Linked DNA regions of Elephas maximus indicus. The protein of the gene in region 1 interacts with the protein of each later gene in a pairwise test. Links are inferred from orthologs where the notes say so. Each region holds a gene or a part of one and is shown on either strand. Other genes may lie near its edges.

Region 1 (7,789 bases):
TCTTAGAGCAAAACCCCTTGAAATCAAGAGCTGTCTATGTGAGTTGTCTCCAACTCCTCTCAACAACTTCTCACCACATCACCATTATCACCATGGACCAAGCCATTATCGTCGCTCACCTGGATGAGTGCAACAGCTCCTAACTGGTCTCCCGGCTTTTTGTCCACCTCTACCCCTTTACCCTCAGTTCAGTCTATTCTCAGAACCACAGCCAGAGAAATTGTTTTCAATCTTAAGTCAGATGACATCACTTCTCTGCTCACAACCCTGCAATTATTCCTATTTCACCCAGAGTAAAAGCCCAAATCTTAACAACTGTCTACAAAGTTCTACTCAATTGGTCCTATCATATCTCTGGCTTCTTCTCCTACTACTTTTCCCCTCACTTATTCTGTTCTGAAATCATATTGGCTTCTTCTGCTGTTCCTCAAAGGTCACATTTCCACCTCAGGGCCTTTTCCTTTAGTGTTCCCTCTGCCTGGAATGCTCTTCCCCCTGGATATTCATATTTCATCACCTCTTTTTGGAAACCCTGGTGGCGTAGTGGTTAAGTGCTACGGCTGCTAACCAAAAAGGTCGGCAATTCGAATCCACCAGGCGCTCCTTGGAAACTCACGGGGCAGTTCTACTCTGTCCTGTAGGGTCGCTATGAGTTGGAATCGACTTGATGGCCGTGGGTTTGGGTGTTTTTGGGTTCAAGTGTTTGCTCAAATGCCACCTTTGAGCGAACCTGTGAGCTTTTCCCTGATCACATTTTAAATTGCATCCCCAACTCCGTATTCCTTAAACCTTTTCTCTGCTCTGTTTTTCTCCACGACACTTACCATCACCTAAAATACTATGTATTTTATTTCCAGGGACATAAACTCAAAGAGGACAGAAATTTTAGTCTATTTTTCTTACTGTTATACCGCTAGCATTTAAAGCAGTACCTGGCGTATGACAGGTGATCAATAATGTTTGCATGAATTATTTCATGTCTATCAGGGAGCCTAACAAATCACCTAGCCTGGTATTCCAGGAAAAGATCATCAAGCTTCTCTAAGATTTCTCCCAGTTCTCTGATCCCTAGAAGGATTATACTTCGCCTAGAAAGAAAAAGTGTGCTTTGTCTCCTCAGCCACAAGGAGGAGTTGGGAGGAGCTGAGCAAAGGAAACGAGAAAATGCTGCTTCCTTGCTTTTCCTATGGTTGCCTCAAGGTGGAAGAAAACTGGACTTGAAAACCCTGGTGGCGTAGTGGTTAAGTGCTACCGCTGCTAACCAAAAGGTCGGCAGTTCAAATCCATCTGGATGTTCTTGAAAACTCTGTTGGGCAGCTCTACCCGTCCTATAGGGTCACTATTAGTCAGATTGGACTAGACAACAATAGGTTTTTTTTTTTTTTTTTGGTTTGGTAGTTTAAAGGAATGATTTTCTCAATACTAACAGCTACCTTGGAGCCCTGGTGGTGCAGTGGTTAACAGCTCGGCTGCTAACCAAAAGGTCAGCAGTTCGAATCCACCAGCCGCTCCTTGGAAACCCTATGGGGCAGTTCTACCCCGTCCAATAGGGTCGCTATAAGTCGGATTCGACTCGACAGCAACGGGTTTTTTTTGTTGTCGTTGTTATTTACCTATATTCACACAAACGTAAATATTAAAAGCCACAATCCTTTCGAACACCACACAGAGGGCAACGAAATCAACCCACAGGCCATTAAGGATGAAAAGAGTGTTTCTTTAGCTCCACCACTAAGAATTCTCCATAAATTCGAGGGCAGAGCTTCTATTACCACTCACAGCTGAAGGCCAAGGGGTCCCAGCTGGTCAACACTCTCTAGCCAATTCCCCTGGATGTTTACATGAAACAGCTACAGTTCTTAAACGTTACAAGCAAGGCGCTCCCAGGGCTAAATTTCTCAGACTTGGCCGATCGCAGAGAAGGTCCTGAGTGACCAAACACACATTAACGCCACTCGGGGGATGGACTCACCGCCACCTGTTGATCCCCACGTTAGACGAGCCGGCGAACCAGGGGTCGAGGATGTAGACGCAGCGGATGGTGTCGGCGCCCTGAATGCACTCCTTCAGGGCGGGGTTGTCGTGCAGCCGGAGCCCCTTTCGGAACCAGTGCACGGCGTTCACCCCCATCCCGGCGGCCAGCGGGTCAGCGCCGAGTTCCTCCAGAGAGAATTTCAAGCAAGCAAGGTCCGGCTCATAGCCGACCCCTTCGCTTCCAGGAGAATCGCCAAGCCCAAGGAGTAAGAAAGGGCGGCAGAGGGGGGACAGGAAAAAATGAATCCGAGGAGGGGACGTGCGAAGGAGAGGGCGCTGGAGGCGCAGTTGGAAGATGAATGGAGGCTGCCCAGCCCGGGTGTGACGCCCTTTAGGACCCGGCGCAGGCCTCAACCGCCTGGAGGAGACGCATAACTTCGACGGCCTCGGAACCCCCGAGGGTGAGCAAGTTCCAGGAGCGCGAGCCGCCACGACGGCCCGAGAAGGCAAAGGCGGCCCCAGAAGGTTCGTCACGGAAGCCTCGCCCCACCAAGGCTGCCCTCGAGGAGAAAACGGCCCGGCGCAGGTGAGTCACCCAGAGAAATGAGAGAGGATTCGGCCACTGTCAGGAACTCTGCCTCGCGGCCCGGGACAAACGAACGAGGACGAAGGCGGTGGTCGAGGACGCTGGACGGTTGCCGGCCAGTGACCAGTCCCGAGGCTGCCCGGGTGATTCCGCCGCCGCCGCCGCCGACGCGTCAGCGGCCTCGGCCCCGCCCCCGGCTCCTCATTGGCGAGCACACTCCCCACGTGACCACCGGCACCTCACGTTTCTGAAGTGTGTTTACTACACCGGCTCTGGCTGAGGAATCTTCTCGTGTTTCGATCACTTCCGGAGAGCAGCAGCAGCTCCAGACTGTAGATCCTCGCCCCAGTGCTGGGATCCCTGCCTCTGGCCCTTTCCTCGGCCGTCTGGTCGCGGTCCCCACAGGCGCCAGCGATGACCACAGGCCCCATGTGAGGGAAGGCTTGGCTCCGCCCCCGGGGGCCGTGAGCGGCCACTATTGGCTGAGGCTCGCTGAGGCCCGGATGAGCACGGGGATGCGGGGAGCTCGCGGGCACGCGCTCAGCACTGGGAGGCGCGCGTGCGCTCTCTCTGCGTCCCTGCGGTCTGGAGCGCGCAGGGCGATTCCTTCCGTAGGGCGGTGGGAGGCCGGGAAGGCGGCCCTCTGGGAGTCAACCGTGAAGCCTGGCCAGGAGAAGGGGAGATTGGGGTGGAAGCAGGAGTTTGGGAGGCTCCACTTAGACTTCCAGCCCAAACCATGTGCTTCGGTCCAGCTTTGGTCGGAGAGCCCTGCTTTGGCGTGTCTATAACTGGCGCTCCTACCATTCTGTGCGTCTGTGGCGCGGTACGCTTGGACTCCGACAGTGATGTGTCGATTTACCTGTTCCTGATGCGGCCCTTGCCTGCCTTTGTAGAGATAATGGACTGTGGGCCATGTCATTTCTTGAACACATGATGGCCTTGTATTCATTCAACAATTACTTACTGAGAGCCTGTTATGTGCCAGACATTTTCAAGGCTCAGGGGGCGGGGGGTACAAGAGAGAATACCAGAAAAACCCAAATCGCTTGCCATTGATTGGATTCCTGCTCATGGTGACCCCACGTGTGTCAGTAGAACTGTGCTCCGTAAAAGAGACAAAAACCACAGCCCTCCTGAAGCCTGCAATCTGTGACTCCTAACTTGTGAGGTTGCTATTCTTTTTGTCTCTATAAAAATATCCTTTGGAACCTGCTGCTTACTATAACCAACTTTGAGCTACCTAGTGTATTTCTACACATCCCTTTAGACTCAGATGAAGTGTTACCTAATTTGTGAAATTATTTCTGACTCCCAGGGTGGGTTTAGGGCCTCCCCCTCAGCCCTCCACACATGTGTCTGATACATCACTTAATACACTGTAAAACCTAAACCTAGTGTGGTGTAGTGTTTAAGTGCTATGGCTGGTAACCAAAGGGCCGGCAGTTCGAATCCACCAGGTGCTCCTTGGAAACTCTATGGGGCAGTTCTGCCCTGTCGTATAGGGTCACTATGAGTCAGAATTGACTCGACAGCACTGGGCTGGTTCAGATCCTTGGAAACACTGTGGGGCAGTTCTACTCTGTCCTGTAGTGTTGCTATGAGTTGGAATCAACTCAACTGCAAGGGGTTTGGTGTTTGGTTTTACTGTAGTACCTAAGGCTCTTGGGTGGCCCAAACGTTTTGAGGTTGGCCACGAACCAAAAGGATGCCAGTTCAAACCCACCCAGTGGTGCCTTGAAAGAAAGGCCTGACGATCAGCTTCTGTAAAGATTCCAAACCAAACCAAAAAATCAAACCCAGTGTTATAGAACAGAGTAGAGCTGACCCGTAGGGCTTCCAAGGAGCAGCTGGTGGATTTGAACTGCCAATCTTTTGATTAGCAGCCAAGCTTTTAACCACTGCACCACCACCACCACACACACCACATACATTGCTGTTGAGTCAATTCGGACTTATAGCAACCCTATAGGACAGGGTATAACTGCCCCATAGGGTTTACAAGGAGCTCCTGATGGATTTGAACTGCCAACCTTTTGGTTTGCAGCCATAGCTCTTAGTCACTACACCACCAGGGTTTCTACTACACCACCAGGGCTCTGTAAAGATTAAAAAAAAAGAAAAACCAAACCTATTGCTGTTGAGTCCGGCCCATAGCGACCCTATAGGACAGAGAAGAATCGCCCCATAGAGTTTCCAAAGAGTGCCTGGTTGATTTGAACTGCCGACCTTTTTGGTTAGCAGACATAGCTCTTAATCACTACACCACCAGGGTTTCCATAAAGATTAGGGCCAAGGAAACCCTATGGAGCTTATTTCTCTGTAGCACATGGGGAAGCCATGTGTTGAAACTGACTTGTCAGCCATGGATTTGGGTTTTTTTTTTTTTTTTTTGGTATTCTCTACTGTATCCTCAGCATGTTGTACCTAGTAGGAAGACAGTGCTCAGTAATATAGTGTCTCTGACTCCATTAAAGTTTGACTTCCTAAGGGCAAGGTTTCTGTCTAGTTCATCTTTTTGCATCATCAACACCTAGTCCAGACCCTGACGTTTATACACTAAAATGTTTGTTGAATGAATGAATGTATATTGTTTGCCACCAGTTTGGGTGGCAAGGTTAAAAGGAAGAAGGAAATGGCAATAAAGTAAATTAAGTCATCTAAAAAGCCAATATGTCTAAACACTCTTCCCTACCCCTGTTGCCACGGGGAGGGTATATCATCCTTTCTTTGCTTTCTGTTGTCGTTGGGCGCCATTGAGTCGGTTCTGACCCATAGTGACCCTGTGTGCAACAGAACAATAACATTGCTTGGTCCTACACCATCCTAACAATTGTTGCAGCATTTGAACCTATTGTTGCAGCCGGTGTGTCAATCCATCTCATTGAGGGTCTTCCTCTTTTTTGTTGACCTCTACTTTACCAAGCCCTGATGGCATAGTGGTTAAGAGCTTGGCTGCTAACCAAAAAGTTAGCAGTTCAGATCCAACAGCCACCCCTTGGAAACCCTATGGGGCAGTTGTACTCTGCCCTGTAGGGTCATTATGAATCAGAATTGACTCGACAGCAATGGGTTTGGTGTTTTTGGTTCCTACTTTATCAAGCATGATGTCCTTCAAGGACTGGTCTCTCCTGATAACATGTACAAAGTATGTGAGACAAAGTCTCACCATCCTCCCTTCTAGGGAACATTCTGGCTGTACTTCTTCCAAAGTTTATTCATTCTTCTGGCAGTCCATGTTTTGTTGTTGCTGTTGGGTGCTGTTGGGTTGGTTCCTACTCATAGGAATGAGACACTGCCCGGTCTTGCACTATCCTCACAGTCATTGCTATGTTTGGGCCCATTGTTGCAGCCACTGTGTCAGTCCCTCTCACTGAGGGTCTTCCTCTTTTTTGCTGACCCTCTACTTTACCAAGCATGATGTCCTTTTCCAGGAACTGGTCCCTCCTGATAACATGTCCAAAGTATGTGAGATGAACTCTAGCCATCCTTGCTTCTAAGCACCATTTTGGCTGTAGTTCTTCTAAGACAGGTTTTTTTTGTTCTTCTGGCAGTCCTTGGTATTTTCAATATTTTTTGCCAACACTGTAATTCAAGGGCATCATTTCTTCTTGTCTCCTTTATTCATTGTTCAGCTTTTGCATGTATATGAGGTGATTGAAAATACCATGGCTTGGGTCATGTCCTCAAAGTGACATCTTTGCTTTTTATTGCTTTGAAGAGGTCTTTTGCAATTTGCCCAGTGCAATACATTGTTTCATTTCTTGACTGCTGCTTCCATGGACATTGATTGTGGCGCTGAGTTAAAAGAAATCCTTGACAACTTTAAAATATTTTCTCCATTTATCATGATGTTGCTTATTGGCCCACTTGTGAGGATTTTTGTTTTCTTTATGTTGAGGTGTAATCCATACTGAAGGCTGTAGTCTCTGATCTTCGTCAGTAAGTGCTTCAAGTTCTCTTGCTTTCAGCAAGCAAAGTTGTGCCTTCAGCGTATCACAGGTTGTTAATGAGTCTTCCTCCAATCCCGCTGCCATGTTCTTCTTCATATAGTCCAGCTTCTCAGATTATTTGCCAGCATACAGGTTGAATAAGTACAGTGAAAGGATACAACCCTGATACCAGGGATGGACTACCCAATAAGCAAGGTAAACACGTGCTGAGGGCAACAAGAAACAGAGGCACCATTTGCCCAAAGCAAAGACCTATAGATGCCAAGCAGACGGGACACAGGAAGAGTGACCACTGCAGTGGAAGGGAACTGGCAGGGAACTAAATGAAATTGACAAAAGCTACAGTTCATCTCATTCCACTAAAATGGCATACATCACCTTTGCTTTCAATCGCAAATGTTATAGTCACGTTTAAAAAGAAATTACATCATAGATAGCTGAGACACACACATGTGTAATGTGTATATATAACTCATATATCCCTTTGGAATGTGTGAATAAGCAGAGGAGGAGGCACCACAGATTATCCGTGTTTAGGGTCCTCACATGCCTTAATCTGGCCCTGCCTGCTGCACACCTTTCCTGATTTTAAACCATGTAGTATCCTCTTGTTCTGTTTGAATGACCGCCTCTTGGTCATTCATGAGCATGATTAAGTGTTTTGGAATTCCCATTCTTTGAAATCTTATCCATTTTTGTTATTATCTACACAGTCAGATGCCTTTGTTTTATAGAAGAATATTTAAAATTATATGCAGTCATGTGCTGTATAACATCCATTTGGGCAATGTCCGACTGCATATGCATTCATGGCCCCATAAGGGTTTTTTTTTTTTTTAAGGGAAAGCAGCTCTCCTTTTGTTTATTATTTCCTCCTAATGGTTTTAAAGACCCCAGACTCCCAGAGTAAATGAGCTGGAGAGCTCCAGGGTGCATCTCAATCCCAGAAGAGCTTCCTCCTTCATCTCCTTCCCCTCCTCCTGGCCATTCACAGGCCCAGCAGCCACGCAGCTGTTCGCTCCCAGCAAACCTGCTGAGGCTGCTTTGCTCCTGGTCCAGGTGGCTGTAGCAGCTGCACCAGCAGAGTGGGGCAGCCAGGGTCTGCCACTGCCAGCCATGCACCAGGCACCTGCACAGCTGCTCCCTGCCTGGTCCCCACAGCCACTTCTCCCTGCTGCTGTGCACCCCTCCCCCCGCTGCCCTGCCCTGTGCCTGGAGGTGTGCAAAGCCTCAATCTGACTGCTAGCGCAGCCCCCACCTGGCCCCCAGTCGCACATCC
Region 2 (7,140 bases), on another chromosome or scaffold:
AGCGAGCCCCACCTCCCCCTTCAGACTCTGCACCTTCAGAGACAAGGCCCGGCTCCTCTCGCAGACCCTACACCTTCGGGGGCAGCCAGGCCCACCTCCTCCCTCAGACTGTGCCCCTTCAGAGCCAGCTAGCCCCACCTCCCCGCTCAGACCCTGTACTTGAAGGGTCAAACACTGCCTATCTTCTCAAATCCTACATCTTCAAGGGAACAGCCAGCCTCACCTCCCACCTTAGACCCTGCACCTTTAGAGCCTGACCCAGCAGGCACTGTGCTGCCCAGGAGCTTGCAACCCATTTCCTGTTCCCTTAAATCTGTGCCCTCTACCCCATCTGAGAAATGCCGAGCATGTTCTTCCCTTTGGTTTTCTAACTCCAGGTCTTTGAACAAGTCATTATAATAGTTTGTCTTCTCGAGTCACCCTTTGAAATCTCTGTTTAGCTCTTTTACTTCATCATTTCTTCCTTTTGCTTTAGCTACTCTAAGTTTAAGAGCAAGTTTCAGAGTCTCTTCTGACACCCATTTTGGTCTTTTCTTTTCTATCTTTTTGATGAACTCTTGCTTTCTTCACGTATGATGTCCTTGATGTCATCTCACAACTCATTTGGTCTTCAGTCGTTAGTGTTCAATACATCAACTCTAATCTATTCTTGAGATGGTCTTTAAATTGAGGTGGGATGGGTATACTCGAAATCATACTTTGGTTCCCATGGACTTGTTCTAATTTTCTTCAACTTCAAGTTGAGCTTGTATAGCAGCAATTGATAGCCTGTTCTGACTGATGATACTGAGCTTTTCATCGTCTCTTTCCTCAGATGTAGTTGATTTGATTCCTGTGTATTCCATCTGGTGAGGTCCACGTGGATAGTCACCATTTATGTTGTTGAGAAAAGGTATTTGCAATGAAGTCATTGGTACTGCAAAATTCTATCACGCAATCTCCATTGTCATTTCTATCACCAAGGCCATATTTTCCAACTACCGATCCTTCTTCTTTGTTTCCAACTTTTGCATTCTAATCTCCAGTAATTATCAGTGCATCCTGATTGCATGTTTGATCAATTTCAGACTGCAGAAGCTGGTAAAAATCTTCAATTTCTTCATCTTTGGCCTTAGTGGTTAGTGCATAAATTTGAATATTAATTGTAATAAGTGGTCTTCCTTGTAGGTGTGTGGATATTATCCTATCACTGAGAGCGTTGTACTTCAGGATAGATCTTGAAATGGTCTTTTTGATGATGAACATGACACTATTCTGGAAGAAAATATTCAAGACACAAGTTGCAATATTGAAGGATTCTATGGGGAAAATACTAAACAATGCAGGAAGCATCAGAAGAAGATGGAAAGAATACATAGAGTCACTATACCAAAAAAAAAAAAAAAAACTGGTCAGTATTCAACCATTTCAGGAGGTAGTATATGATCAAGAACTGATGGTACCGAAGAAAGAGGTTCAAGCTGCACTGAAGGCATTGGCAAAAAGCAAGGCTCTGGGAATTGACAGAATACCAGTTGAGATGTTTCAACAAACAGGTGCAGTGCTGGAAGTGCTCACTCGTCTATGCCAAGAAATTTAGAAGACAGCTACCTGGCCAACCAACTGGAAGAGATCCATATTTGTACCCATTTCAAAGAAAGATGATTCAACCGAGTTCAGAAATTATTGAACAATATCATTAATACCACAGAAAACTAAAATTTTGTTGGCGATCATTAAAAACCAGTTGCAGCAATACACCAAGAGGGAACTGCCAGAAATTCAAGCCAGATTCAGAAGAGGATGTGGAACCAGGGATATCACTGCTGCTGTCAGATGAATCCTGACTGAAAGCAGAGAATACCAGAAAGATGTTTACCTGTGTTTTATTGACTATGCAGAGGCATTCAGCTGTGTGGATCATAACAAATTATGGATAACATTGCGAAGAATTGGAATTCCAGAACACCTAATTGTGCACATGAGAAACCTGTACGTAGATCAAAAGGCAGTTGTTCAAACAGAACAAGGGGATACTGAGTGGTTTAAAGTCAGGAAAGGCGTGCATCAGGGTTGTATCCTCTCACCATACTTACTCAATCTGTATGCTGAGCAAATAATCTGAGAAGCTGGACTATATGAAGAAGAACGGGGCATCAGGATTGGAGGAAGGGTCGTTAACAACCTACATTACCCAGATGACACAACCTTGCTTGGTGAAAGTGAAGAGGACTTGAAGCACTTACTGATGAAGATCAAAGACCACACAGCCTTCAATATGGATTACACCTCAACATAAAACAAAAATCCTCCCAACTGAACCAATAAGCAACATCACGACAAAGGGAGAAAAGATTGATGTCAAGGATTTCATTTTACTTGGATCCACGATCAATGCCCATGGAAGCAGCAGTAAAGGAATCAAATGACACATCGCATTGGGCAAATTTGCTGCAAAAGATGTCTTTAAAGTGTTAAAAGGCAAAGATGTCACTTTAAGGACCAAGGTGCGCCTGACCCGAGCCATGGTGTTCTCAATCACCTTATATCATGTGACAGCTGGACAATGAGTAAGGAAAACTGAGGAGGAAGAAGAATCGATGCCTTTGGATCATGGAGTTGGCAAAGAATATTGGATATACTGTGGACTTCCAGAAGAAGGAACAAATCTCTCCTGGAAGAAGTACAGCCCAAATACTTCCTAGAAGCAAAGATGGCAAGACTTTCTCTCATACTCTTTGTACATGTCATCAGGAAGGATCAGTCCCTGGAGAAGGACATCATGCTTGGTAGAGTAGAAGGTCATGAAAAAGAGGAAGACCCTCAACGAGCTGGATCGACACAGTGGCTACAACAATGGGATCAAGCATAACAGTGATTGTGAGGATGGTGCAAGACCAGGAGATGTTTAATTCTGTTGTGCAAGGGGTCACTATGAGCTGGAATCAACTTGGATGGCACCTCTAAACAACGATAACTGCATCTGAGCAGGTCTGCTCTCTCCACGGACACTTCAGACAGGGTTGGGGCCTTAAGAGGCCCCAAACAACTTTACCAAAAGAGAAAATGGTCTCAGCAAAGGTGCTCAGGGTCCAGAGCCGCCTCCCGGAATGACCCCACCCGTGGCTCCGGTGTCTCTGGAACTCGCCTTTCAGGAAGGCCCCCCTTTTGCAAACATCTCCCCGGTCCTACTCACACTTGGGTGCTGCTTCCGTCGTGGAGCCTCTGCGGGGAGCTCCGGCCCTGTGATTTATAACCTACATCACCCAGTTTAGCATTTGAGTTTCCCTTTTCACAGTGGGTGGGTCTTGCCTCCCTAATGATGTGGTTGGAACAGTGATATCATTCATTGATTAATTTATACCTCCCCGTGGTAACAATGATCGTATTTCCTGAGCCAAAAATTGTGACACATGGTCTCGAAAGCAAAAAAGGCGTCTGAAAGCGGACCATCCTGGGGATCTGGGACAAGTGTCGAGCACCTGCACCTCGGTAGTGGGCGGCCTGCAACCCGAGAGCCTCCCTCCGCCTGGGCAGCCTGGGCAGGATCAGCGACGCAGGGAGCGAGGGAGCGGAAGGCTGAATGGGAACCAGCGACTAAATGGGCACGCGCGTCTGAATGGGAGCGAGTCCACGGGTGGCACCGGCTGAATGAACGGGAGGGGTGACCGAGCGATTTCCGCAGGGAGGCTTTGGCCGCCGGGCCGCGCCTCTGGCCGGCCCCCCAGGTGGCGGCCTCCCCGGGCCTGGGCTTCGGCGGCGCACCGTCTCCCGGCAGAGGCGCGCCCCAGCCGCCAGCGCTGCGCTCGTCGCCCCGGACCCGGAGCTGCGGCCCGGCGCCCCCGCCCCGCAGTGGTACGCGCCACTCCGCGCTCCCCGGCCGCCCGGCGCGCGGCGTCCTGAATGGAAAGGCGGAAGTGGAAGGGACCACTGGGGAGGGCGCAGAGGGGGGCCCGTGCGCGCCGCGTCCTCATTGAGAACCGACGCGGGGAACATGGAGTTCCATGTGCGTCTTATGTAAAGAGAGCGGCAGGCGCCGCAGCCAATGGGCGCGCGCTGCTCGCCGGCCCCGCCCCCTCGGGTATGCAGATGAGGCGGCGTCGTGGCCAATGGCAGGCGCGGGGGCGGGCCGGCGCGCGCGGTCACGTTTTCCACTATGTGACAGCGGCGGCCGGTGAGCCCAGGCGGGGGCTGCGGAGAAGCTGCCGGGCGGACGGACGGACGGACGGACGGCGGCGGGACGGGGACGCGGGGCGCCTCGGTGAGTGCGGCCGGGGGTGCGGCGGCGCCGGCAGGTGGCGGGCGCTCTCGGCAGCCGGGCTCGCGCTTACGTAACTGCCTGCCGGGCGCGGGTGGGTCTGGGGTCGGCGCTCGGGGGGGTCTGGGGTCGGCGCTCGGGAGGGTCTGGGGTCGGCGCTCGGGAGGGTCTGGGGTCGGCGCTCGGGAGGGTCTGGGGTCGGCCCACCGGCTCTGGGATCGGCGCTTGGGAGGGTCTGGGGTCAGCCCCCCGGGTCTGGGGTGGGCGCTCAGGCGGATCTGGGGTAGGAGCTCGGGTGGGTCTGGAGTCTGCGCTCTGAGTCTGGTGTCCGCTGCCCGGGCCCGGGGTCGGCGCTCGGGTGGCGCTGGGGTCCGCGTCCCGGGTCTAGAGTTGGCGCTTGGTCGGGGCTGGGGTCCACGCGCGAATCTGGGGTCTGCGGTCGAGAGGGTCTGGGATCCAAGCGGGCGGCGGCGCCCGGCTGCCTTCCTCAGCCCCCCGCCACGGGCACGCGAACCCCTAGTGTTCTGGGAAATTTGAATGCTCCGAGCTTGCAAACGGTGAAGACGGCGCTGGGGTGGGGAGTGTGCAGAGGAAATTCAGTCTATTCTGATACTAACGGATATCAGGACTGAGCGTGTGCCGGCGCTGTGTATTTGCTAAGGCAAACCTTGCGGAGACTCTGCGCGGTGGGTACTCTTGTCCCCATTTTACAGGTCAAGAAACTGAGCTTCAAAGAGGTTAGGTGGCATTTCTTTCATGAAAACCCCTGGGCCTTCAGTGGGGAGAGGACCTGGAAGGCCAAGGCCACACCAAGGGCCGCTGCTGTCACTGGGCACATGGAGAGCCCTTTTGGAAGCCAGCTTCCCCCTCTGAGGCCAGACAAGTCTCAGGCCACTGATGGGGGCAATGGCCAATCACCCACTGTAGCAAGGCCACTGGTCTTCCAGCTGGAAAATCCCTGTGCCAGGCCAGGCCTAGGAACCCTGACAGCGGGGAGTCTCGATGATGCTCAGCCCCTTTGCCAACCCTGGTCCCCCAGGTCAATTTCTTTTCCCCAGGGCAGGTAGAAGGGGGGCTGCCCAGGCTGGTCTCTACTTTGTGGTGGGGCAGTCACACCATGTGCTGGGATGCCCCTTGGCTGCCAAGCCCCAGGGCCCAGACAGGGGTGGGCGGCAGTCTGCTTCCCTCCAGGAAGGCAGAGCAAAGGATAACAACTTGATTGCCAGGGTTTCTGTAACGACACAGAGGGAACCAGCTTGGAAAGCTGATTCATACGCACAGAGTGGCAGAGCCAGAAGGTACCTGGGAATCATCCAGGGCTTCACAGATGAGGAAACCGAGAGCCAGACATGTGCTGGAAACACACTGTCGTGGGGGGCGGTGGGGGGAGGGTGCCAGGGCAATGTCTCCAGGTCTTTCCATCACACCTAAGGGTCTTGATCTGGGTCAGGCTGAGTCTGAACACCTGAAACTGGGCCAGGGTTTGGAAGGAAGGGCCTTAGGTCCCCCAAGTGTTCAGACCCTAGCACCGTGGCAGAGCTCTGTCTGTGAACACTTCTCTTCCCCACCCTACCTCCCGGTTCCTAGGGGGAGATGCCCTGCCCCACCGCACCTGGGCTTTCTGGTCCAGGACTGGGTTTGCCTGCGAAGGGAAACAGGATGAAGGCTGCAATTAGAAACTGAGTTTTAAATCCAAGTCTAGTCGCTTAGGTAAGGTGTATTCGTGAAAAGAGGAGAGGAGTCCTTTTTTTTTTTTTTTTAAGTAGAAGCTGTGTGAACTGCCACTGAAGGATGGGTGCCGTGGGTGTTCTGCCAGCTTGGAAGTCACCCACCACTGTAATCTCCTGTGATTCACCAGTAAAGAGCAAAGTCAGGGCTCTGGGAGATGAGGGGGTTGGAGCCATTGGCAGGAGGTGGGAGCCTGGCCACTACCCAGGTGGCAGTGCTTGGCGAATCCACCCCACCCCCACCTCCCTGCTCCTGCCCCCCACCTCTAGGTCTCAGCTACCTGTCTGTGTATATTCCTGGAATAAGTGCTCTCCAAGGTGCGTTTCAGCTCCCAGGTGCTGGGATCCCTGTTCCTGTTACTGAAGGTTTTCCCGGGCACTATGCAGGAGGGAAGGAGCTTTTTTTTTTTTTATGCAGGAGGGAAGGAGCCCTGGTGGTGCAGTGGTTAAAGAGCTCGGCAGCCAACTGAAAGGTTGGCGATTGGAACCAACCACCTGCTCAAAGAGAAAAAGATGTGGCAGTCTGCTTCCATAAAGATTACAGCCTCAGAAACCCTATGGGGCAGCTCTAGTCTGTCCTACAGGGTCGCTATGAGTCGGAATCGGAATCAACTCGAGGGCAGTGGGTTTGGGTTTTGGATGCCGGAGGGAGTGGTTTCTGACGTGCTTATGCCTGTGTGTGGCTTGGGAGGCGTGTCTCAAATAGGAGGGTGCCCCTCGCGTGCACTGTTTTTGATGCACATGTTTGGGACAGTTGTGGGAGGCACGCATCTGTCTTTAACTCTCTAGCTGCTATTGGGTTAATGGTATGCCAACCACTTTTTATGCCCCTGGATCTCGTAGGTAGTAGGTTAGTCTGCTTCTAACCCATTTAGTGTCAATGTGGGTCCCTTTTGAAATACACGAAGCTCAGCGGACCCAAGTTGGAGCCTCATTGTTGTGCAGGTTGAACATTCTATTAGGTGACGCTTCATGGATGTGTTAGTTCTATAAACTGTTGCCTTTTTTCCCCCTTTATTTCTGTGAGATAAGACTTGCAAGCATAATTATGGCTTTCCTGTGTGATAGTTAGGGAGCCCGGATGGGTTTGTTTTGGTTTTTCTGGGTCATCTTTGGAAAACCAGAGGTTCCCCATGTAACCTAATGGAAAGGTGCCCTCAGTAATTCTCTGTTTAG

The links. The genes of interacting proteins can lie anywhere in the genome.
Region 2: the proteins of CRY1 (region 1) and PER2 interact in a two-hybrid assay, tested with the Homo sapiens proteins (5 studies listed by BioGRID, with this or other methods). The link is inferred for Elephas maximus indicus from reciprocal best matches to the Homo sapiens genes CRY1 and PER2.

The regions. Positions count from the first base shown.
Region 1 is NC_064822.1:174,245,414-174,253,202, forward strand, and holds the start of CRY1 (cryptochrome-1), read right to left. Parts: upstream 3,003-7,789; 5' UTR 2,131-3,002; coding exon 1,973-2,130; intron 1-1,972.
Region 2 is NC_064824.1:140,372,765-140,379,904, reverse strand, and holds the start of PER2 (period circadian protein homolog 2), read left to right. Parts: upstream 1-4,131; 5' UTR 4,132-4,240; intron 4,241-7,140. UniProt on the Homo sapiens protein: Transcriptional repressor which forms a core component of the circadian clock.